Arabidopsis thaliana: one gene and its partner. The protein of the gene in region 2 purifies or fractionates together with the protein of the main gene of each other region. This does not show direct contact. Each region holds a gene or a part of one and is shown on either strand. Other genes may lie near its edges. The genes, in order: AT5G63960 and POLD2.

Evidence for each region.
Region 1: the proteins of POLD2 (region 2) and AT5G63960 fractionate together in Arabidopsis thaliana (co-fractionation; one large-scale study listed by BioGRID). This does not show direct contact.

The regions. Positions count from the first base shown.
Region 1 is NC_003076.8:25,595,234-25,609,016, reverse strand, and holds AT5G63960 (DNA polymerase delta subunit 1), read right to left. Parts: upstream 9,504-13,783; 5' UTR 9,421-9,503; coding exon 9,135-9,420; intron 9,041-9,134; coding exon 8,930-9,040; intron 8,849-8,929; coding exon 8,742-8,848; intron 8,663-8,741; coding exon 8,503-8,662; intron 8,415-8,502; coding exon 8,219-8,414; intron 8,126-8,218; coding exon 7,990-8,125; intron 7,903-7,989; coding exon 7,714-7,902; intron 7,555-7,713; coding exon 7,477-7,554; intron 7,295-7,476; coding exon 7,203-7,294; intron 7,071-7,202; coding exon 7,004-7,070; intron 6,913-7,003; coding exon 6,841-6,912; intron 6,765-6,840; coding exon 6,678-6,764; intron 6,164-6,677; coding exon 6,044-6,163; intron 5,969-6,043; coding exon 5,870-5,968; intron 5,764-5,869; coding exon 5,656-5,763; intron 5,551-5,655; coding exon 5,455-5,550; intron 5,319-5,454; coding exon 5,253-5,318; intron 5,158-5,252; coding exon 5,101-5,157; intron 4,974-5,100; coding exon 4,886-4,973; intron 4,806-4,885; and 23 more. Other genes in the region: RGLG3 (Copine (Calcium-dependent phospholipid-binding protein) family), read left to right, coding at 101-169, 249-333, 420-560, 646-759, 839-1,016, 1,094-1,199, 1,277-1,395, 1,511-1,661 and 2 more; CHR24 (chromatin remodeling 24), read left to right, coding at 10,612-10,723, 10,816-10,947, 11,200-12,188, 12,266-12,396, 12,476-12,530, 12,787-12,915, 13,079-13,186, 13,268-13,323 and 1 more. UniProt on the Arabidopsis thaliana protein: This polymerase possesses two enzymatic activities: DNA synthesis (polymerase) and an exonucleolytic activity that degrades single-stranded DNA in the 3'- to 5'-direction.
Region 2 is NC_003071.7:17,559,889-17,571,138, reverse strand, and holds POLD2 (DNA polymerase delta small subunit), read left to right. Parts: upstream 1-5,106; 5' UTR 5,107-5,173; coding exon 5,174-5,230; intron 5,231-5,358; coding exon 5,359-5,491; intron 5,492-5,680; coding exon 5,681-5,787; intron 5,788-5,866; coding exon 5,867-5,993; intron 5,994-6,141; coding exon 6,142-6,249; intron 6,250-6,343; coding exon 6,344-6,459; intron 6,460-6,530; coding exon 6,531-6,614; intron 6,615-6,712; coding exon 6,713-6,781; intron 6,782-6,870; coding exon 6,871-6,942; intron 6,943-7,024; coding exon 7,025-7,116; intron 7,117-7,217; coding exon 7,218-7,345; intron 7,346-7,444; coding exon 7,445-7,546; intron 7,547-7,637; coding exon 7,638-7,705; intron 7,706-7,794; coding exon 7,795-7,857; 3' UTR 7,858-7,982; downstream 7,983-11,250. Other genes in the region: AT2G42140 (VQ motif-containing protein), read left to right, coding at 1,657-2,175; AT2G42130 (Plastid-lipid associated protein PAP / fibrillin family protein), read right to left, coding at 3,223-3,315, 3,411-3,463, 3,547-3,763, 3,853-3,949, 4,037-4,120, 4,207-4,328, 4,664-4,897; AT2G42110 (uncharacterized protein), read left to right, coding at 8,407-8,730, 8,816-8,905; AT2G42100 (Actin-like ATPase superfamily protein), read right to left, coding at 9,194-9,259, 9,360-9,973, 10,116-10,509, 10,866-10,928. UniProt on the Arabidopsis thaliana protein: The function of the small subunit is not yet clear.

The DNA of each region.
Region 1 (13,783 bases), on a different chromosome or scaffold from region 2:
ACTTGCCACTTGTGTAACTGTATCTTTTATTCTTGATTTTGATTGGTTTCTTCTCCAAAGATTGGATTTCTGAAGGTTCTTGTGCTGCAGGGTTTTTTCAATGAACATGAGCAATAAACGTAATCAGCAACCTTCGTATATTGCTGATCATTTCAGCAGTTTGGATCAGGTCTCATAAACTTACTTAGTTATTTCTTGATTTTAGTCTCTTTCATAGTGATGAATTTCTTGTGAACTTTGCTTTTTAGGTGATAACTTCTCTGAGAGAAGCTGGACTTGAATCTTCAAATCTGATTCTAGGAATTGACTTTACCAAGAGCAATGAGTGGACAGGTAATTATTTGATTTGATAAAAAATGCTACACATGTTTACGAAAAGATTCAATGGTTTTGGTTAATGTTCTGAATTTTCATTGCAGGGAGATATTCATTCAATAGAAAAAGCCTTCATGCCATTGGTAAAAGACAGAATCCATATGAGAAAGCAATATCGATTATTGGTCGTACTTTGTCTCCCTTTGATGAAGATGATCTTATACCTTGTTTCGGTTTTGGCGATGGTTAGTTTCTTATTTCTTGCTTTCAAGATGAATGAATAAGATAAACCAAAGTTCTTAATGGTTTTATGTTTTCTTCTTCCTGCAGTAACAACGCGAGATCAATATGTATTCAGCTTTTATCCCGAGAACAAAAGCTGCGACGGATTGGAAAACGCAGTTAAAAGATATAGAGAGATTGTCCCACATTTGAAGTTGTCCGGTATTTTTGAACTTTCAAAAATGGAGCAGTTTTGTTCTCTCTTATCGTAAAGATTAATCAGTGTATTCTTCCCTCACAGGTCCTACCTCGTTTGCACCGGTTATTGATGCTGCCATCAACATAGTTGAGCAGAACAATATGCAATACCATGTTCTCGTCATTATCGCAGATGGTCAGGTCACAAGAAATCCAGATGTGCCGCTTGGTCGACTTAGTCCACAGGAAGAAGCTACTATGAACTCGATAATGGCAGCGAGGTAAAACTATTCAATAAGCTCATATTCATGATCAGACTTCATATGTATACTAATGATGTTTGATATAAATTTTCCAGCCATTACCCATTGTCGATAGTCTTGGTTGGAGTAGGAGATGGACCATGGGACACAATGAAACAATTCGATGACAATATTCCTCACCGTGAATTCGATAACTTCCAGGTAATATAATAAAACCCTGAATAGCTCTGTTTTGTTCCTGAAACATGAATCATGAAAAACTGTGTTTTGTTCCACAGTTTGTAAACTTCACGAAGATAATGTCAGAGCACAAAGATGCGGCTAAGAAGGAGGCTGCTTTCGCACTCGCAGCTCTCATGGAGATCCCTTTTCAATACAAGGCTACATTAAGTCTCAAGTAAATGCAATAAAAAATTTACCGTTGGAAACTACTTGTATCACTCACTGTTTATGGTCTTATTGCATTAGATTCTTTGCCAACTAAACCAACCTTTGATTGTGCTTATGAACAGTAGAAAACCAGTGCGCAGTTCCCATCAGCACCACAAGCCACTCCCGCCACCACCAGAGGTTATAGAGCGTGACAATGCTGTTAGATCGGTGCCAAATCAGATGACAGAAACTGCAGAGAAAAGTGACAGACTCGCTCCTTCCACAGTGCCGGTAAATACTCTATTATTTCTGCCTTTGTTTCTGTTCTTTTGTCAATGAGTATACTCAGTTTCTCTGATACTGAGATTTACATTCCTTTTGTTTTTCAAAAAGGTATGCCCGATTTGCTTGACGAATCCAAAGGACATGGCTTTTAGCTGCGGTCACACGGTATGTGAAAATTTCAAAGGAACAATTATACTCTTACTTGTTCTATGAACTGTACTGCTTCTAGATCGATTTTGTGACATCTCCGATACTTTTTATTTCAAATAAAGACATGCAAGGAATGCGGAGTTGTTATCACAACATGCCCACTATGCAGACAACCAATAACAACAAGGATAAGGCTGTACACTTGACTCGGAAAAATTCTTAGAGATGAGACAAATTATATGGTTAAGCACTTGAGCTTCATGTTTATACTTCTGTAGAACATTGTACAGTCCAAGCAGAAGAATTGTAAAGCATAAATCTCGAGTTGTAGTTCATATGTAATTCTTAGCCTGCCGAAACAAGGAGATATGCGAGAAGAGTTCTCTTTTTGTATTAATCAACAGCTACGTACAAATAAGCCGAAGAGGTCCTTTTTATAACATTCCAAAGAGACCTACAAGTTCTAAATCAAGCGGAAAGTGTAACAGCAACGATACCAATGGAAAAAAGAGAGAGCTAAAAACAACCTTAAATACTTATTAGAAGCTCCAACGGTCGAGTTGTTGCCTGGCTACAGCCATGTCTTTTTGTGCTTTCATTCTCCGGTAAAATATTGGACAATCTCGACTGTAAAAGACCAATAAGAAATCCAGAAAGGAAATTGGATCAGAACCTATTTACCTGCTGAAAGATTTCTAAAAGAAATTGATATCGATAAAAATATAAGCAAACCTGGTGCACAAGACATCTTGATGAAGAGAGCCTTGACACTCCTGGCACTGTGTCCACAGCCTCCCAAAAACCTCTTCAAGCTCAGCCACTGAATAACACAACGAAAGTATCAAATTTTATAGATATATCAAAGAGTCTATAGGAAAGGGAAAAACGGCAGCATACCTTGAGACACGTTTTTGCAATATAACTCGGCTTCTCTTCCCTTGCAACTTGCGCATAGTGTTCCATTGCTGGTTGAAGTTAAAAGCGAATATTGATAAACAGATCCCATATATGAAAACAGATAATACATAGGCAAGGGACCACAAAGTACCTGATCGGAACTTTGCAGCCAACACAGCTCAGTTGTTTTTTAGCAAACTTCATTATACCGCTGTTTGAAGGAGTAGTGATTGATATTGACCTCGTGTGACTTCCATGGAGAAGCTCCTTGCTAGCATTTTTCAGGACTGGCTCAAAAATCCTAAGAAGTGGCTGAAAACAACATCTCCTTTAACCTACAATCACCAGAATAAAGAGTATAGAATAAACTTATACACAAACGCCATGTTGAACTGACCTTGCTAATCTGATTCTCCAAGTAGTAATTTGGGTCTATAGGGATATTATTCTGTAGCACGTAGATTGGATCTTCTGATCGTTCATAAGCCTATCAGACGTCAAAATGAGATAAGCACGGAAGAAGAGAATGACCTTAACATCTTATGGAAAAGCTAACACAAGCTTGACATGAAAACTACCTTGGCACCTTTAGCAGCTTTTATGATAACATACGGTACTCGATCTCCAACATTTGGCGCTGTAGCAGCATCCCTCTGTCACATATGTAAGCAAACACTGTCATATTCACATGATAGATCATCAGACACCGTAAAACAGATCTAAGTTTCAGAGCAACCTTTGTATGATATTATATATTCACCAAAAAGCCGGAAAAAAAATTCATATATTCAGCAAAATTATGCATGACTTAAGAAAAATCCCTGCACTTGTGCAGCTATAAAAAGACGACCAAAGAACCATATTAAAATATTATACAAGCCAAAAATTAAAATTTAATTGTTTAGCACTCCCATTTTTCAGTTTGAGAGTGTCCATGAGATGCTGGAATTAGAGTAAAGGAACGAAAATTCCCCTAGACACATTTGTACATGTTTCTTCACGAACGGAAACGGTCAAGAGTTATCTTAACATGTAATGAAAATGCTTAATCCTGCAAATGATAGACGAAAATAGATAAAGAGTACCACAAACCTTACGCATGCGTTCAGCAAGTTCACCATGAGCTGATTTAACTTCATAATCATCTCCTGTTTTCGTTAGACCCTATGATTTGAGGAAACACATCAGGAGCATTATCCATTTGATTCTTGTTTTAGTTTTAACAGATGGCTTTAATCATTAAAATACACTTTCAGGCGATACAAACATCACAGGACAATAAATCAAGTAAAACATATTACCTTAGTAATCACCAAAAGTGACAAGTCAATACGGTTCATGAGAAGATCCGAAATGGTTTTCTTGACATTTTCAGCTGCCCCTGGAACATCTCTATCAATAAGTATTTTGTTAAGACTCTCAGTCACGAGGTTCTTAACCAGTAAACAATTATCCCTTCGTACTGTCTCGATTCCTGCCAAAGTCGGTGATATTGAAATTTAGTCAGGAAATGAATAAGAGAGAGGCTGTAAAATCACGAAGATTTACCTTTGGTGTCCATTTTGTCAAACTGTTGAGGATTTGTCCATAGCAAACCAGCATACCTCTTCTTGTTAATGAGAAGATATGGGAAATAGACCTTTTCAAACTCCAATTTGATGGGCTTTATGACATCATACACAATCAAGAAACAGAGAACGATTCAGCCTGTTATATTTTGTTTTCAAGAAATCACGTAATCTTGCACCTCTACCCCAAGGATTAGGGAGAACCGGAGAAGTTTAAGACATGCTCCTAGAAAATCACTTACTTTGATAAAAGTTCCACTAATGTGTTCTGCAGCTTCCCTCCCCAAGGTCATCGCAGCTTCTACATCCGATACTCCAAATTGCACCATGACTGAATCCGTGTCTCCATAAATGACCTAATACATCATAGTCCATCAAATTCGAGAAATCTAAGAGCAAACTTAATGATTCACTCAAGTCTTTTCAATACAACGAATAATTCAATGAACATGTACCTCTGCATTGTATTGATACCCTCCCAGTGTTGTGAATTTGTCTTCAACAAGTTTCTTTGTTTGTTCAATCATCTGACGACCTTCAAAAAGATACAAATCCATCAGAACGAACCTAAAAGGCTACGTGTCTAGAAAAGTTGCAGTTTCACAAAAGAAATACCATAGCTAGTTACACTCGAGGATATTTCTAAGCATGGTAACTGCCCAACAGTGGCTCCCGTAAACCCGTAGACAGAATTTGCACTGATCTGAGAAAAAATAGAAAACAAATGTAAAAGAGCAATTTACAGGGAGGATATTGTTCGAAATTTTCCGAGGATTGTAATCATTTTTCTGAATGACCAAGTTAAAGAAGCTGGCAGTAAAGAAGTTCACCTTCAACGCTAACTGTCTACCATCTAAAACAGCCTTCTCAAGGGGATCCTTAGCCTCCTAGATTAGACAATACCAGTTTCAATAGTAGTAGTTAAAGGCTGTATACAGATACGCACACACTGCAAGAGTTTCTTCGGAATCAAATGTTTTACCTTTAAATCTGCTTTAGCTCTCTTACGGGCAGTAAGAAGCTCTTCGAGAATTTCTGGAAGTATACCCTGAAATAAATTATTCATTTTGTTAATAAACTGCTGTCTTCCCTGAATTTATTAATTGGTTGTATTTCCTGAAAGAACTCATTCAACAGAATTTGCGGAACTTGAGGATAATAAAAATCTAACTAAATGCGGAAACCTTTTGCAAAGTTTGCTTAACAAATGTTTCCCCTGATGGAGTTTTAGTGACATGTTCAGGTGGAAGATTCAGTTTGCGTACATCTTCAGGTGTCACCTTCAAAGACAAGAACATGGAAATAATGCTCCCAAATTAATAAGGTGTATAAACAATAGATGATAAAATAAATAGAAATTGAAAAGAAAATATCAAAAGAATTACCAAGGTGCAGTAGCACAGATTATATGCCATCATAATTGACGGGTACAGTGAAGCAAAATCCAAAGTTGCAATTGGCTTTTCATAGAAACCTGTTCTTGCTTCTAAAACCTGAATATCGTTTGACATATCCAAAACAACAAACATGTCGGAACAGTGGAATTAATGCAACCGATAGGCCAAAAGGAAATGTTAGATCCATAAATCACCCACTTACAGTTGCGCCTTCATAAGTTCCTTGTTCGGACCCTGACTGTTTAGCATTTGGAAGAACCAGATTTTTCTGTTTGCCTTTCCTAAGAAGCTGAGATAAAACCTAGAAGCAAAGACACAATATATCAGCCACCTTATTAAACTGAAACACATCCAGAAACTAGAAGTTGAGAACTACCTTGATACTCTGTCCTCTCGCAAGAAGAAATGAAATAGGGACACCAGTTACACGAGCCATTTCGACATAATTATATATAAACATCAGTTTGTCCAGAAGCCTCTGAGGAAGATATGCATCCTGTAACAGAGAAAAGAAACGTGGTGAAGTTGTAGCTTCTTGTAATATTTAGTTGGTTGACTATTAATAGAGAAGCAGCTAAGTTAGTGTCTGAAAATCCTTCCACACATCCTACGAAACACATTATTCCATGTGTCACAAATATCGCCAGCAATTGCCAGAAGTCCTTCAAGCCTACCTCACATCCAGATTCCAGCATGCTCAAAAAAATCATGAATGGACATATGAGCAACCATTTCTATACACCCTTATCTACAAGGTTTCCTCTTGCCACACGTACAAAAATATAAGCAGAGATTACTAAAAAAGTTTTTAAAACACACATCAATGTTCATCTTTTACACTAGAAAGGGTGGGACTTGGGACTCCCATCATAGCTTGGGACAACATGCAATAGGACCTTTAGGTGGTTAGACAAGCTTGATAGCTAGTTAGAAAATCTTAAAGTTATCTAATAACAGGCAATGCATCAGGACATAGACAGCACTACTCCAGAATAAATAAAAGTAGGTACCTTCAAACAATAAACAGCAAGACGCCTCCTGGTTTCCGCATTCCCATTCTGGAGATCAGTTATTATAGAATGGTGGACATCTTCTTTCTGCAGAAGACAATCAGGTTAGCCACATGGAAAGTAGAAATAACCTGAAATTCTAAGCATAATTACTCGGTTTCACCTGCTCGGAAAGAAAGTGAGCTGAGACAGAATTCAGCGAATAAGAACTTAATTTGTGGTCTCTGTGTATTGCCTACAATAATTAAAAGACGAATCAGGTTGATGTTACAAATAAACAATCTAAGAATGACTCAACCAAAATGAATTTGTTAAGGACAAAAAACCTGAATAAGGTCAAACTGAAATCTTCCTTCAATTGTGGTCTCTTTACTTTCTCTTATTCCTTGTTGTCTGAAACATGGCAATATAATATTATAAGATGCGAGTTTAGAGAACTCATGAGGCACAAAAAGCATGAAGCATAACAAAAAAACAATAGAGAAAGCGATGGAAGTTAGCAAGCACCAGTTACTCCTACATCACCTTGATGAAAATGTTGAGTCCCTGACCCGGACCCTACTGTTCTTTACACGACCAAGAAGAGGAAATTCCTCTATTCCCAGTGTAGCAGCTCTCTGAGAATCAGAAAACAGCATATTTTCTAGGTTAAAGATCCATCACATATACATGTGCCATATGACCCAGCGGAGCATAGCATAATATTACATATAGAATGCTATAAGAAAGAAAAACACGCTTCTGCTAACCAGAGGTGATACTGATCCGTCAATAAAAGTAAAATCTAATGTTCAAGTACCTCAATCAGATAAGGTAAATCGAATTTGCAGATGTTATAACCAATGATGATATCAGGATCAACATCACGAATCAAATCCTGCAGCCAATACATCTCATACATCAGCAGAACACATGTTTCACCAAGCCCACAACAAAATTGCAGTAGCAACATAAAGTTTACTAAATCTTTCACTGAGTCCTCCAGGATTTAACAACTGTAATAGAACTTACTTTTGCAAGCAAGGTGCCAAAAAACAGATGAAGAAGAAGTAATGCATATATAATAATGAAGAGGCAAAAACAATACCCTCCAAGCTAGTAAGACCTCTCTTTCTGTTTCAAAAGACATGACATCTACGCCTACGATTGGAGCACATGACTTAAGAGTCATGACATTGCGTACAAATGGGTGATCCTCTCCCTGAAGAGTAACAAGGTTCGCTATCTAGAAAAGCAATGAGAATGTTGTTTCAAGAAGAATGCAAACAAAGGTAACAAAAAGGTATATCAAAAAATGACAAAAACAGCTAACCTGGATTACAGGATCATGCTTAGCTTCCGGAAAATGTCCTTTACGACCTGCACACTCAATATCGAAACTTAGTACACGGAATGGAGCCATTTTTGAGTATTCACCTTCTGCAGCATGACTGATTAGATCTGAGTACCTAAAACCCATGTTAAAGAAAGCACTGGCATAAAATACAATATGTTACTATAAGCATATTATTGTTCCAGAAAAGAAATTCCGATGAGGATACAGGCAATGGAACTCCAATTGGCAGTATGACAAAGTTCTTGCATTTTTCTTATACTTCCCAGTAGGTACTTCAATCCAATTTCCTCCGACAATATCACAATCAACCATGAAACGGAGAACGAAAAGAATATTGCTTTCATATGTCTGGAAGCTCTTCATACCCAATCCATCAATTTGTAGGCCTCTATCAAGGATGCCTACCAATTTAATAATTACAATGACTTTAAATCAGTAAAGGATAAGAGATAGTAGACACATAGCGCACAAATATTTGGGAAGTCATACCGCGACAGCTTGCCACCATAGTCGGCAATGCAACTGTAATCTTCAGAAAAGTTTGGGATTTTTGCTGTTGGTAATACATAATGCTTCTTTTCTGCACCATTTCTATACGTTTAACAAATTTCGGGACCTTGGCATTTTTATTGGATTCCCTCATCCTTCCCTGAATGAATCAGCTGAGCTTTAAAACAAAACCAGCGAGATCAAAGTACAAAATATACAGAGATCTACATAGTAAATACCTCAAGACTCTGATGGAAATTAGAAATATCGTCTGGCCCCATTCCAGGAGGGCAAGCAATGTAAAAGTATGGCTCAAATCCATGAACAAAGCAACACACACTGTTACCTGACAATATACCAGAAACTCAAATCCAACGAAATCGTTCCCCACAAAGAGCAAAAGAAAAAGAGGTTTAAAAACACTCACCTTCTCTGGTAACCCCAAACATCCTAATGATTGGAGCTTGCCCTGAGGAACCCGGTAACAGCTCCTTATGACTCTCCGCGATTATAGAGTCAATCTCCAATTGTTGGAAAACTAAACAAATCAAAATACACAAATCCAAGTGTTGAGAAATTTTCCAGCAATCATAAGATGAAGAAGCCCTTATCAAACTAAGATAGTACTCAACTGATACTCTGTGAATTCGAGAGATACGCGGGGGAGAGCGGAGGTCGAGCCCAAGCCGAGGAACGCGATTCACGCTCCTCAATGTCACGGAGGATTAGGGATTCCTCATCTTCGTCGCCGTACAAGAGAGTTTCGTCCAGAAACACGTCCTCTTCCATCATAAATTCATCATCTAGGGTTCCGATGGCCGGAGATGGTGTTGAATCACCAGTGGCTCGATGCTTACCCGCCGGTGGTGGGGTATTCGAAGGAGGCGGTCGCTTTTTGGAAATACCGGATCTATTCATGGCTTTGGGTGAGCGGGAAAAGAAGAGAATGTGTGTGATTTTGTGAGCTCGTGGAGGTCTGAGAGAAGTAGAAAGTGAGACTATACACCACTCCGATTCCCGCCAGTTTTAAGGGTTTTGCTATTAGAGATTTGATGTCAATGTGAAGTTTTTTAAGGAACTTTTCTTTAAGTCCCTAGACAATGCTATTATTAACCAAATCGTTACGGACTTTTTCTTATTGTGGTTGCAATTATTTTGAATTAAAATATATTTTGTCGGATGACCAATGTTTAAGACTTTTAAGTGCTTATACGAAGTTTTGATTGCTAAAAAAAACGAATAATTGTAGATCAAAAGAGACAACCTTATAATAGAGTTCGATCGTGATACACATAGAATCGTTCATTGTTCATTTGATCTACAATTATAAGAGAATTCGACCTCTCTTTAATTATTTTATTTTTAGTATATCAGGATTCATGACCAAGACAATTAGGCAAGTGATGGTACACTTGGTAGCTAACTAGCTAAGGTTGATGCCGCATTTCATAATGGAACTTGGTTTATGTTGGAAGCAGAACTCGAACATGTCGAGCATCTTCAAATCAATAGAGTCTCCAAACTCTTGCAGCAAATTTTGTTGTACTGTATATGGAAGGAGCCAAGTATTTACCAAGGTAGTAAGTAATGAACCCTCCACGTCCACGAGCTCACAATTTCACACATTCTCTTCCTTTTCCCGATCATCCAAAGCCATGAATAGAGCCGGAAATTCCAAAAAGCGACCGCCTCCATCAAACCGTCATTTTTTGGTTCCATCATGAGATATTGAACAAATTATTACTTGTATTATCTGAAATGACTTGTAATATCTGAAATGACTTGTAAAAAAAGTGTACCACATCGGATGTTCTTGTTACTAAACAATTCAGACCAACGCAAAAAATATTATACTATTATATCTGACCAAAAAGGAAATAAAATCATATTTTGTTGTATTGTAGGTTAAATGTGAGAGAGAGAGAGAGAGAGAGAGCGCACAAGAGCCATTTGTCTCGGAACTGAGAAATCTTCAAAATTCAAAAAAGCCAAGGAAGGCGGGATTCCAAACATTCTCTTCATCATCTTCTTCTTCTTCTCACTCTTCTCTCCATTTATCACAATCGATCATCGGGAAACACAAACTCATCTCCAGAAAACGGTGTAGCAATGGCGGAAAATACGGCCAGCCATAGAAGAAAACCTCGGAGCTTGAACGATCGTCACTACAGTATCCTCCAGGATCTTTCTGCGCCTCCTAGACAGCCTCCCTCTTCTTCTCGTACGATTGTTCTCTTCTATCGTTTCTCTATGGTTTCGGATTCGTATCTGTCTTTGATTTTGAGTTTTATTTATTATATTTGGGGACTTCAGATGGAGAAGATGAAGAGACGAAGAAGTCCATGATTAAGCTTGCTGGACGACGTCGTCTTTGCAAGGCCTTGCCAAAGGAAGACGAAGCTGATGGATATGACGATCCTGATTTGGTTGATTTCTATTCCCCAGGTAATTTTGAGATTTCACCCGATTTTAGGGTTTTCGCAAACCCATGTCTCTTAGTTTACAGAAAGAAATTGGTGTTTCCGTTGATGATGTATTTCAATTTTGTCCTAGTAGCTTACTTTGAAATTAGGGTTTCTTCGAAATCTGAGTTTCTAGTCTGGTGTTTGATTTTCGGTCTTTATAGCTGTTATTATACTGCGTTTTGTCAGATAACTTTACTTGAATACGTTTGTTTTTGCATGATGCTCTAATCAGTTAAAGGAGAGACATCACTAGACAGCGCTGGAATTGGGAACAAATTCACATCTTGGGATGAATCAAAGGAAGCTAACACTGAGCTGGCTGGCGAGCCTAACTTTTCGATAATCACAGACTTTTGTTCGCCCTCACCTCAGTTGAAGCAAAAAGAGGAAATGCAAGGTGATGGAGGAAGGAACGAGATCATGGGTATTTTGGATGATTTGACCTCTAAGCTTGGGACAATGTCGATTCAGAAGAAGAAGGATAGCCAAAGCAATGATTTTGATGCATGTGGAGTGAAGAGCCAGGTTGATAAATTTGATTTTGAGGATGCCAAATCCTCATTTTCCTTGCTATCGGATCTATCTAAGTCCTCACCAGATGTGGTTACCACATATAATGCTGGCGTTAATAGTATCAAGGACAAGCAAGGCAAATCTGGTTTTGCCATCCGGGAAGAGCAAACTAGTAAGGAATTTTCAAGGGAATGGGAAGAAAGAATTTCGAATGTTGGAAAGCAAAACTCATATTCTGGTCGGCACTTTGACGATAACTCTGAAGATAATAGGCAGGGATACAATCTTGACCGTGGGAAGAGCCAATGCAAGGAAGTCGACCAAAGTATGAAGACGACCAGGCACATAGAGGTAAGTGAGAAGATAAGAACAGTCGGAAGGTCTAATGCTGCCAAGCTAAGAGACTTAGACGAGGATGATGATGATGATGACTGTCTCATTTTGTCCGGGAAAAAGGCGGCTGAAATGAAAATTAATAAGCCAGCTCGGTCTTATAACGCCAAAAGACATGGTTATGATGAGAGATCGTTGGAAGATGAAGGGTCTATCACTTTAACTGGCCTCAATTTGTCTTACACATTGCCTGGAAAGATTGCAACAATGTTATATCCACATCAGAGGGAAGGGTTGAATTGGCTTTGGTCATTGCATACCCAAGGGAAAGGTGGAATACTTGGAGATGATATGGGTTTAGGTAAAACTATGCAGGTACGGAAATCTGCAACCTGCACTTTTCTTTTCGTTATCAATAATGTATCTTTGATTTTGGTTGATTCGCATTGCAGATTTGTAGTTTTCTTGCTGGTTTATTCCACTCCAAATTGATCAAGCGTGCTCTGGTAGTGGCCCCAAAAACCTTGCTGCCTCACTGGATGAAAGAATTAGCTACCGTGGGACTTTCACAAATGACTAGGGAGTAAGAGCGACTTTCTTTAATTTGTATATACTGAACTAGTGTTTTAGTGATACTGATTGTCTTTCTTTCCTTTTTACAGATACTACGGTACTTCTACGAAAGCCCGGGAATATGATCTCCACCACATTCTGCAGGTTCATGTTCTTTCTTTCATTGTTCTCCTGAGAAATCTCACTGATACATTAACTATACAACTGCATTTCATTTACGTTTTCACTTGATTTGTGACAATGTTGCCCCTTCCTCTAGTAAATCATCTTTATATAAGCGTATTTTAATATTGCTTAGATTGATTAAACTGAAATAATCTATCATTTTTCCGGAGTTAATTTCTGATTGTTTTTGAAAAATGGTATGGGTTTCCCACTTGAATATCTTTAACTTTTGTAGGGTAAAGGTATTCTTCTAACAACCTATGATATTGTGCGGAACAATACAAAGGCTTTGCAAGGTGACGACCATTATACTGATGAGGATGATGAAGATGGAAACAAATGGGACTACATGATTCTGGACGAGGTAAACACATCAATATTTTATCATTTGTGAGGTCTTTGCACTAATAGTTGGTATAGTGTGTATGCACTATTGTCCATCAAGCGCTGAGATGTTACCATTAGTGTAGGTTCTGAATTTTCCCCCTACTGATATCAATAAAATGTATTTCCGCTTACACTTCTAGGGACATCTTATTAAGAACCCCAACACACAAAGGGCGAAGAGTTTGCTTGAGATCCCAAGTTCTCACCGTATTATAATAAGTGGTACACCAATCCAGAACAATCTCAAGGTATTATTGTCTATGACATTTAACGTTGGTCAGTTCTTGCAATTCTAATGCTGTCTATTGATTCCATCTTCATATTTTCAGGAACTGTGGGCTCTCTTCAACTTCAGCTGCCCTGGGTTACTCGGTGACAAGAATTGGTAAACATATCCTCCCTATAATTTTGTCAGAGTACATTTACCAGCTCTGTATTACTAAGGCTTTAAGCTTTAACAGGTTTAAGCAGAATTATGAGCATTACATTCTTCGTGGAACTGACAAAAATGCTACTGATAGAGAACAGAGGATAGGCTCAACAGTAGCAAAGGTGAGGATTCAATTTGAATATGCTTGAGTGGGTACTATTTCGTACTGTAGCTGAAAGAAGTTTTATTAGATTTTTAAATTTCTTCCTCTTATCTTCGTATGTCTTGTTGAATCTAGCTCTAGTCTATGATTACTATTGATCATAAATATAGCAAGAAATGAAATTATAGATTATCATGCATCATGCTTACAGTCTGGTATGCATCTTATGAGATTGCAAACTGTTTTTGATATTGCCGTAGAACAGTTATGCGTACGCAAGCTTAATTGCACCTAGGAAGAAAAAACCTATCA
Region 2 (11,250 bases):
CAGTGTATCGCTTGTCCAATATATTATATAGTGTGTTTGGATGTGATAAGTACTGTAGAGATTTCAAGATAATTGTTTCTTATATCCAACAAGCGTTAGAAAATCAAACAAGCATAGACATACACTACACATTATAATTCACAAATATTGTACAAAAACACTTAGGAATTGAATTTGTTAAAAGGTCAATTTGATTCGCAAGGTAAAAAGGAAAAGAGATAAGATAAAAGTAAACCAAGTAAAATGGAGAGTCGTCAGGAAGTGGAACTGCCTCGTGCACCCGAGGGTCATGCCATTTCCATGTCCTTACATTATTACGTCCGATTTCGTACAATCTTATCTTCCTTTTTTTGGTGATAAAGTGTACATTAATTCTTATCTTTTCATGTCTTGTTACTATTCATAAGTTCGTTTAAATGGTTATTAACCTCTCATGACATTTCACAAGTTCATTTCATAAGTTCGTCTTGTTACTATTCATAAGTTCGTTTAAATGGTTATTAACCTATCATGACATTTCACACACATATATACGTATTTAAAATTTAGTTTTATATATACCACTAGCTGTGACATTTGTGGTTCTTAATTATCAAGACATGTCTATACGTTAAATTTACACCTTGCATATATAATTCTTTCAAATTATGTCATCCAATTTAGTTTAGTTAAACATGTACTATCTGAGATTCTCGTTGTTAAGGCTGTAATCATAGATTATAAAAAGTGTTGGTAGTGGTCCACACAAATTGTATTTTTATGTTGAACTTTAGAGATTGCAAATGATAAGGTGGTTGAGTTTGTGTACATTACATGGGGACAAGTTTCTGCAATCCTATAGGCATTTATTTAATTGAAGCCACCTGGATTTATGCGTAATACCTTAACTAAACACACATTGCCAAATATACTAATGACAACTTTTACTTTATTTCGACTATGTTGAGATAAAAAATACATTTCAATTGGAAATATTGTATGTGTCACCTTCATGAATTATATAAACTCCAACTTTAATATTGTATCGTTTTTACACCATGTGTACACATTTACTTGTATGAATGCGAAAACGATTACAAATTACATGCAATATCGTACGTGGATCTCTGACCACAAAAATTTAATATCAATGATACTAAATTACAATATGCTAAAAATATAATGAATTAATGTCTTAAGACATTCCAAAACGAGGATTTTGTTATAGTTGGAGGGGTCCCTGGACTTCCTTTGGATTCATAAATCTCATGTCTTCGGAGACAGCCTGACACATCTCTTTCATCAATATTCAATATAAGTGTAATCTCATATTGTATGTTAATTATTCAAACTATAGTTTATCTATTGAATCTCAACAAGACATCAATCAATATTATTTGCCTTTATTAATAATATATTCAGGATCTTTACGTTCTGCTACGATATAAACTAGAAATACGAGTTGACAAAAAAGAAAAAGAAAAGGAAAAGGATTAAACATATATTACCTAGTTGTCACTAAAACTTGTACATCTAAAATAGTTGATTTTTCTTTACCATTTTCTTCTATCTTTTCTCCTATATAACCTTAACCTTATCACATTTCACTTACCAAAAAAAATCACCAACTCTCTCTTCTGATCACATAAACCCTAATTTTTATTCTTCTACAAAACTATGGAAATTGAAGCTACTACTGTTCAGAAAAGAAGAAGCTTACCAACAATAGCCATGCACAAACAGTCAAGAACACTCACCAAATCTAAACCTAAGATCCGAATCATTCACATATTCGCACCGGAGATCATTAAGACCGATGTCGCCAACTTCCGGGAAATCGTCCAGAATCTCACCGGGAAACAAGATCATCATCACCACGATCTCCCCCACCAAAAGGGTCTCAAAAGAAACCCTAGATCTAGAAGAAGTCATGATCATCATGAAGTCCATGACATGAACAAGAGCCATGGATTTTGCATAAACTCAGATGAAGAGGAAGAAGGGATGGTGTCGATGACGTGGAACGGAAATGGTGACGAGAGCTCCGGTGGGTTCTTGAACGGGTTAGGAGATCTCGACGGCTTCATTCAGGAGCTAGGTGAATTTCCTTATTTACCCTTCACCATTGACCCTGCCGTTGCTTCTTCCTCCCACTTACATGGCAACGTTTTCGCAGAACCTCACCATTACGCCTAAAACGTCTCAAGCGGAAGAATCTTTTAAACATTTTATTTCTTTAAAATAGGTTAAAACTTTTAATAATTTTTTGTTTTCTTCTTTTATATACTTTCTAGAAGCTAATTTTTGTTTTTTTCGATAATTGAAATGTTTGACTTTCTAGACAATATTCTTGTGGAATCGTGGGAGGTTCGGGTTTACGATTATTACGAGTTCTATTTCTGCATAATTTTTTCCCTCTGGTTTTGTATTTTTTATATGATTACACTATAATCTAGTAAGTAGGTATGAAATTTTATAAATCTATATAATTCAAATCCACATTATAATAATGATAAATCACAAATAGAATTTCGCAAACTTTTTACCAAGAAAATCCTTATTAAATATGTAAGGATTATGAAAATCTATAACAAAATATCATTGGGATTGGCTATAGCGTAATTAACTAACACTATCTGAATATAATGGACGTTTAGAAATTCTATGTATACTTTTTTCCTCACTTGCGATGTGTTTTTCTCGCTTATCCAAATGGACTGAGAAATAGACTTATTGATCGATTGACTGATACTTAACATAAGATAAGTACAAATGGGACCATAATTAATCAAGATAACAAATATAATATTTTAAAATTACAGATATGAGCCGACAAGTAACCACAATTACAAACGTGTATATATGCATGTGTGTCACGGTGGTGATGGTGATGATGCATGATGATGATGGAACTACACATGACACATCAAAAGATAACCCGCATCATGTATTCATATTTGATCAAGTTGGCATTATAAATCAACTAAGAAAAATATTAAATCTGAGCTGCCTCTTACATAGAAAGAGTTTATTAAGATGATCAAAACAGAGAATCTGCAAGTACTTGGATAACTTGAGAAGATTTGCCGAGCGAACACAAAAGAAGGAAGGGGTTTTGATGTATGGAGATGACCCTCAAGTTATTAACGTCATACATTTACAGACACCAACTTGGTGGTTGGTTCTTGTAATATAACACACAGAGAACATAGGAACAAGAACAAGAACAATGGCTAGTCACATCTAACTATCATATTCGATAGTTTCTACAACGGTCGATGATGGTGTTTCTATCCTCGTTAGAACTTCAGGCACTCCTTCGGTATCTCTTACTATCTACGAGAAAAAACAACCAAAAGCGGATAAAACTCGGTTAGTGCAACGATCTCAGTCTCTCTCACCATTCTTAACAAAATATTCAACAAACTTACAAGAATCTCTTCATCTAGATAAGATATCATGAAAAATCTTTCAAAGGATCCACCTGAAGCAAACATCACTAGTTGGTTCAGTGCAGATTTGAGCGGAAAATGGTTAAATGTATAAAAAATGGATAAAGTAGCTTACTAAGGGGAATTCTCAGACCACTGGCTAGAGTATCCTTGATAAGAGCAGGAAGCTGCTGCAACGTTGTGGCAGCTTGTCCCAAAGCGCTTTTTAGCTGTTCAGGAACTGCTTCTTCAATGACTGTTGGAGTTTCAAGCATACCTTCAACATATTCTTCTTTCAATCTCAGTGGTCCCTCAACAGTCAATTTTGATGACAGAATGATTTTGCTTTCTATCTGCATTTTTCTGCCACTGTGAGAAACCTCCTTTGTGATTCTGAGTAAACAAATAATCAAACTTTGGAAAAAGGGTTTGAGTGTGTTACCGAGTTCAAAAGTTTGATATTTGCAGTCGCCTTTGCGTTAGCATCCTTGATCAGTATCTCCATTCTTGATAAATTCGCCAATGTTGAAGGAAACCTCCTGAAACAATACAATCAGATGGCAAAACACTTAAAACGTTGAATAAAGTTTGGTGAGCTTTAAGATGAGAAAATGATAAGTACAGACTCGAATATAACTCGAGCAGCGAGTAAACCAGGACTTCCAGATCCAAACCACTCAAAATTCCACCTGCCTTCGAAACAAGGAGACCTGGAAAGCTATAGGAACCAGTTAAAAGACAATTATCCTAAAACCGAAGCAAAAAATTGTAACCAAAAGATTAAAGAAGGACCTACGTGGTTGGTCTCGGAGTTGGATTAAGCCGCTCTAGACTCGTAATCCTCTCATTAACATCGATCCTTTGCATATTAGTTGTTTTCCCTGTAACTAAAGCCTCAAAGCCTCCAGCATCCTTCAACTGTACATAGATGGCTTCAGGACAAAAATAGTTTGACAGTTCCAAACACACAGAGCTCTGTTCCTATACTAAGAAAAACTCAATTGAGCTGAAACATGATCATTCAATTTCTGGACTTTGAGAAAAAAATTCTCTTTTGTTATCTGCAAAATCTCGATTACATCTAACAAATACACAATTCACCTAAAGTCTTCCCATTTATCCTCAGCTTACGACAGAGATAGTAAAAGAGACACAATTTCAAAATCAGAGTAAAATTGAAGATCTAAACAAATCATATATTCACATAACAACCAAGTAATTCAAAGAGTTTATAAAAGTGAGAGAAGTTATACAGCGAGAAGTAGCGATTCCTTAGCAGAAAGGCGCTCCATTTCTCTGGCGTAAACCAAAGGAGATCCTTGAACTGTTTCCTGCACCATTGCTCTTAAAACCCTTCTCCGGCACGAATTCTTCCAACCCTGCTTCACCACCGGAACATTGAGACAAAATCTCGACGGTGACGCTGAGGTTGAAAAAACCAATCGAACCGCAGACGTACCAGGAACCGAACCATGTATCAACGCCATTGAAGAAGAAGAAGAAGAAGAAGGTGAAAAACGAAAGATTGAGAATTTGTTTGCTTTGAGCAACCAAACCTCAGGAAAAAAGAGTTAAGGTGGGAGTGTCTGGTTCAACCGGTTTATATCCGGTTCAAATTAAACCTCTTACAGTTAACCGGGTTTTGTGTTTGGTTCGATTGTTCATAAAAGAAAGAAGACTCTTGTCGTCGATTAGTGCCAAAGTTGAAAGTTGAAACCTTTTCTCAGAATTTTCTGCTCAGTTCTGAGTTTTTTTTTCCCGCCATGGAAATCGACTCCGAGAAAATTCACGAAAGGAAGCAATCCGATTACAATTCGCTGGTACGAACTCTATTACTTTATCGACTTGTAGTGAAAGACAAATGTAATCATTCGTGGTGGTGACTGTTTCTACTTATAAGTGTACGGGCTAGGGTTTGTTATCTGATTCTGAGTTTTTGCAATTGAAGCAGGATGAGAGATTCGAGATACAGAAGGAGATGTACAGAGGTCAGCAATACAGTCAGATTTACTTTGCTCGTCTTCATCTCATGAGAACACTTCTCTACTCTCTTGCTCCTACTTGGAAATCTCATTTGCCTGGTCAGTGCTTTTGTTTCTCTCATATTTAGCACAACAACGAAGAGCAGTTTTTGAGAATTTTCTTGGGTTAGATATAATTAGGTGAAATCAGTGATTTTTAGGGATTTTTGCTATCTTATGGATTACAGTTGAGAAAGATTGCTAGTATTGTTTAAATTATAGATCTGAATGTGAATTTCATTTTTGCAGTGTGTAAGGTTTTGGGACTTGAAAAAGGAAAAGAATGCATAATTGTGGGAACCTTGTTCAAACACATGAAGCTTAAACCTTGTGTTCTCGATGAATATTCTAAAGAGGTTGGTTTTTATTAACCTCTACTGTTTTTTTGAGCTATGTCTATGCTGAATCAATCTGAGTATATTTAACATAATGCAGAGGTCAGTTACTCCGCTTGTTAAACCACATAACTTTATGCATCCTGATGATAATCTGATCCTCGAAGACGAGAGTGGGAGAGTTAAGCTTGCTGGTTCCGCACTTTCACCTGCGATTTATGTGACAGGTATTGCAAATGGGTTCTTACTGTTTTTACTGTATGATTTTTTCCTTCTTTACAATGTGGCAAATCTTAGAGATTTTGATCAAGCTTTCCTCTCTTAAAAGATGGGTTCTTTAAGAAAATTAACGTTGAAGCCTCCCGTGCATTGTAGGTGTTGTTGTTGCACTGCATGGGAAGGAAACTAATGCTGGTGAATTCTTTGTTGAGGATGTACTAGAAGCTGGTTTACCACCTCAGATTGAGCGGCCTATCGATCTACGTAAGTCTAGCTATGTTCTCTTCCTTTTGCTAACCTCATGGCTCAATCATTTCTATAAGCAATCTCTCATGATACATCCATATTGCATCTGCAGAGGAAGATAAATATGTCGTGTTATTGTCGGGCCTTTGTATTGGAAGCAAATCGGCTAATCCCCTGCAGTTTCAGCTTCTTGTTGACCATATAACTGGGCATCTCGGAGATGAGGAGGTTCAAATCTCTTAACTTGCAGGTTGTTCAACATATTTCTTTCCTTAATTTATACTTTATGGTTTGAACAGGAACAAGGCCTTGCAGCACAGATAGTTCATGTAGTAATTGCTGGAAACTCTTTTGAATTTCCCCGCAAACTCATTAATGGCCAGGTACTTATAACTTTTGTTGCTGATATATTCTCAGATACAGTTCCAGTAATTATCTGCCCCAGTTATGTCTTATGATCTTTATTGGTTGATCTTTGTAGAACTTGGCCTCGAAAGATCAATCGACACTGTATGAGCCCATCAAAGAGCTTGATATCATGTTAAGCCAGGTCAGTTAACTGGATCTACGTGTGTGTTATCGATATCTATTGAGATGAAAGTTCAAACTCCTGTTTTTTTTTTTGTGGATTGTTTTTAGATAGCTGCAGGAGTTTCAGTAGATATCATGCCAGGCACGAATGATCCAGCTAACTTCGCATTGCCTCAGCAGGTCTGCAAATACATAAGAAACATTCAAAATCCCGCATTTTGTATCGATAACTCTGATTCATAGGCCCTTCTCTTTTGTTCAGCCTCTGAATAGATGTCTTTTCCCTGGATCTTCACCTTATAACACCTTCAGATCATGTACAAATCCTCACTCATTTGATGTCGATAATATCAGGTATGATTATTATTAATAGTTGAATACAATCTCTCTGATTTTACAACGATAAAATTCTTGGGTTTATCTGACTGAAAACCTCATATGGGGGCATTTTGCAGATTTCTTGGAACTTCTGGTCAGAACATCGATGACCTTGGCAAGTACTCAGAGGCTAAGAGCAAGCTTGATTTTGTGGAAAGAACGCTGAGGTGGAGACATCTTGCCCCAACTGCACCTAATACACTCGGTAAGAATTCTCCTTGCCCTGCAAGATTACTTTTTTGAACTAAGCCCATAAAAAAATGATCCTTTGAGTTCTATTTGGTTTTGATTCACTTGCGTACAGGTTGTTATCCTTTCACCGATAGAGACCCTTTCTTGATTGAAACCTGCCCGCATGTCTACTTCGTCGGGAATCAAGATAAATATGACAACCGTTTGATAAAGGGTAAAAGCACCTTACACAGAGATTAGAAATAACATTCTCTTTTGTCAAACATCAGGCTTTAACTTTTCTTGGGTAAATATGAATGCTGCAGGGTCAGAAGGGCAGCTTGTCCGGTTGATCTGCATTCCTAAGTTCTGTGAGACCGGTATTGCTGTTGCGGTGAGTTTAAAATTTGAGCAGAATTTGAGACCATTTACCCTCATAGATTGCAGATTCTAAATCTCAAAATCACCATGTCTATTTCGCAGGTGAACCTAAGAAATCTGGAATGTCACACTTTAAGCTTTAGCACTCAGATAAACCAATCATAACATTGAGTTGCTACTTTGGTAGATTATTTCCTGTCTTGAAGATGTAATGTTGAGCTTTTTCAGTAACACACTCCTATGTTCTAACCAAATGTTTGTTAAAAATCCTTTTTCTTGAGTGGAACTTCCAAATCTTTGGATATATTGGTAATGCTCATTGTTTTGTCCTAATTTTCTAAAAATCTCGACACGAGTTCTTAGGTAGTCACATAAAGGACAAAAAGGGCCGACCAGATAGTGTCGTGGTCGTTGGTCAGAAGAACGTGAAAAGACTGCAAAAATAATCTTAAAAAAAGCAACAAGTGCACAGAATCTCATGCAAATGTCTCTCTCTCTCTTCTCAACGGCTATATCCATCCACACTTATTACATTATAAAATTAATTAAATGCAATAATGTAACGCATTATATTCTCCAACGGTCCATTTTCCCGCATTTCCCTAACCTTTCCTTTATAACGCAAAACAGTTTCATCTTCTACACTTAACACTTTAATCCTCTCTTTCTCTCAATTTCTCACTCACTACTTGTCTTTCTTACATTACCGAGAATATGGATCTTGTTGTTATCACAGAGACTACTATTCCGACGAAAATCACTCACGTGAACAAGAAATCCTCCGACGAATTGCTCCGTAAGTTCGCCGATCCTGACGACGTCGACGAGTCGTCAAAGTCAACGAAACGCCGGAAGAAATCAGCTAAGAGTTCTTCTCGAGAGAAGGGCGTTGACATCGAAAGTAACACTAGTGGCTTAGTGGAGAGGAAACGGCTCTTGCTTGCCCCGGCGAGTAAACGGAGATCTCTGTTTATCCGGCAGCTTGCTTCTGGAAAATCACATCTCAGGAACAAGTCTCTCGTCAGAACCATCGGCAAGGTATAATAATTACTGAATCCAATTTCCATTAATTGATTTGTAAATTTCTTTATTTTTAAAATCATACTCTGCTCTAATTGGTCAGACATGGCGTAAAACAATGGAAGGAGCTTCAAGAGTTTTCATCGAGAAGCATTATAACAGACACAGGCGTCTCACCAACGACGTCGTTTAAGCTTTTTCAATCTTTTTTTCTTTTCTCACTATTTTACATTCGTTTGTATTATTCTCACGTTTAGTGTTACATCTTTCTCGTCTTTTTTTTTCTTTTTTTTTTTTTCCGTTTTAACTCAAATCACGAAATCCTTTGCTCTTTTGACCAAACATAGAAATATATTTAAAAAATCAGATATATTTGAAATCTCCCATTACAAGTTTTCACCAAATTAAACAAAGCATTAAAAAGAAAGCATAATTAAAGAACATGATGACCATCATGATTTAGAATTGCTAAATTATAAACTTAAAAGCATTTCCTGTGAACAATCGCCCCTCCCTGTTCGTCATACTCAGCTTTAGTAATCCACATCTGCATATAGACATCGCAACTTTACATTACAACACACCAAAAAGAGATATCTATACGCACGTTAAATTTATAAAACAGTTAATAATATTATCATATGTACCGGTGCAAAGCTGCTTAGAGAAGCCAGAATGGAGCCTCCAACCCAAACACTATATTTCCTTTCGGGAGGAGCCACAACTTTTATCTTCATACTAGGCGGTGCAAGCGCATTGATCTCTTTGTTCATCCTATCTGCAATCCCCGGGAACATCGTCGTGCCACCACTCAACACAATGTTTCCATACAAATCCTTCCTTATATCCACATCACACTTCATGATCGAATTGTAAGTCGTCTCATGAATACCAGAAGTTTCCATGCCAATCAAAGACGTCTGGAAAAGAACCTCAGGGCACCTGAATCTCTCAGCTCCTATCGTGATCACTTGACCATCCGGAAGCTCGTAGGTTCTATCGATTGCCGAGCTCGTTGTAGCCTTCTCCATTTCTTGCTCGTAGTCAACAGCTATGTAACAAAGCTTCTCTTTGATGTCTCGGACTATCTCACGCTCGGCGGATGTGGTGTATGTGTAGCCACGTTCCATCATGATTTTCGTCAGATACTCGGTTAGGTCACGGCCTGCTAGATCTAGACGCAAGATCGCATGCGGGAGTGCATAACCTTCGTAGATTGGAACTGTGTGGCTCACACCATCTCCTGAATCCAACACAATACCTAACCACGCAGAAATTTAACAGATTTAGGACCATTGTTATTACCAAAAAAAAAAATCACATTTCAAGATTTTCATAAAAATCACATTTATATAAAAAAATATATATATTTAAAGATTTTGCATGTGAACGATATTACATACCTGTGGTACGACCACTGGAATAGAGAGAGAGAACGGCCTGAATACCAATATACATACTAGGAAAAGCAAATGACTCAAACATGATCTGAGTCATCTTTTCACGATTGACCTTTGGGTTAAGAGGAGCTTCAGTGAGAAGAATAGGGTGTTCTTCAGGTTCCAAACGCAGCTCATTGTAAAAAGTATGGTGCCAAATCTTCTCCATGTCATCCCAATTGCTAACAACACCGTGTTCGATTGGGTATTTAAGTGAAAGAATACCTCTCCTGGCTTGAGCTTCGTCTCCCACAAAGGTATCCTTCTCATCCATTCCTACCATCACTCCCCTGTGTCGTGGACGACCCACAACGCTTGGAAACACAGCTCTTGGTGCATCGTCTCCAGCGAATCCCGCCTTCAAAATGTTTTACCAATCATTAGGATTTAGGTCTACAATATACATTGATTGGTTGCTTACGTTTATATTTAGTATACATTTTTCTAACTCATTATTGCCCAACCGGAAGTACATAAAGGAAAAAATCTTTTGGTATTCGTAAATGAAAACGGGAAATAGAAAAAGTTTTTTTTTTTTGGCGTTTTCAGTACTTTGCAAAATATTTTATTTTCTTAACTTTTTGAAAAAATTTAAATGTAAACGCAAAGCAAATGCGTAAATAGTGTTTGAAACAAAGGAAGCATTATAGATTTTTCATCAAACAAAAAAAAAGCATTACAGATTAATAAAGAGTGTTTTTAGTTTCTCCTTACCTTGACCATTCCAGTTCCATTGTCACACACGATAGCCACGGATTCGTCACCTAGATCCGACATTATCTAGAGTATACATATCATGCATGTTTCAAAAAATTGGTTTTCAAAATTATTATCATTATATACCTTCAAAACGTACACAACTAAATAACAATCAGTTTCGGAAAAAAACAGATATCGTATACAGAGATCATGTTAATTCTTATGTTTAAGGATAAATTAGCTCGAAATATATACCTAATAACTACAAACGGATGGTGTTAGAAAAGAACCCTAGTTATTGCAATGGCAAACATCGCTGCAGTGACAACAAAAAAAAAATCACTTAAAGAATATCGTTCTCTTACGTTCAAAAATTATGTTCTTCTCCTTCTTCTTCCTT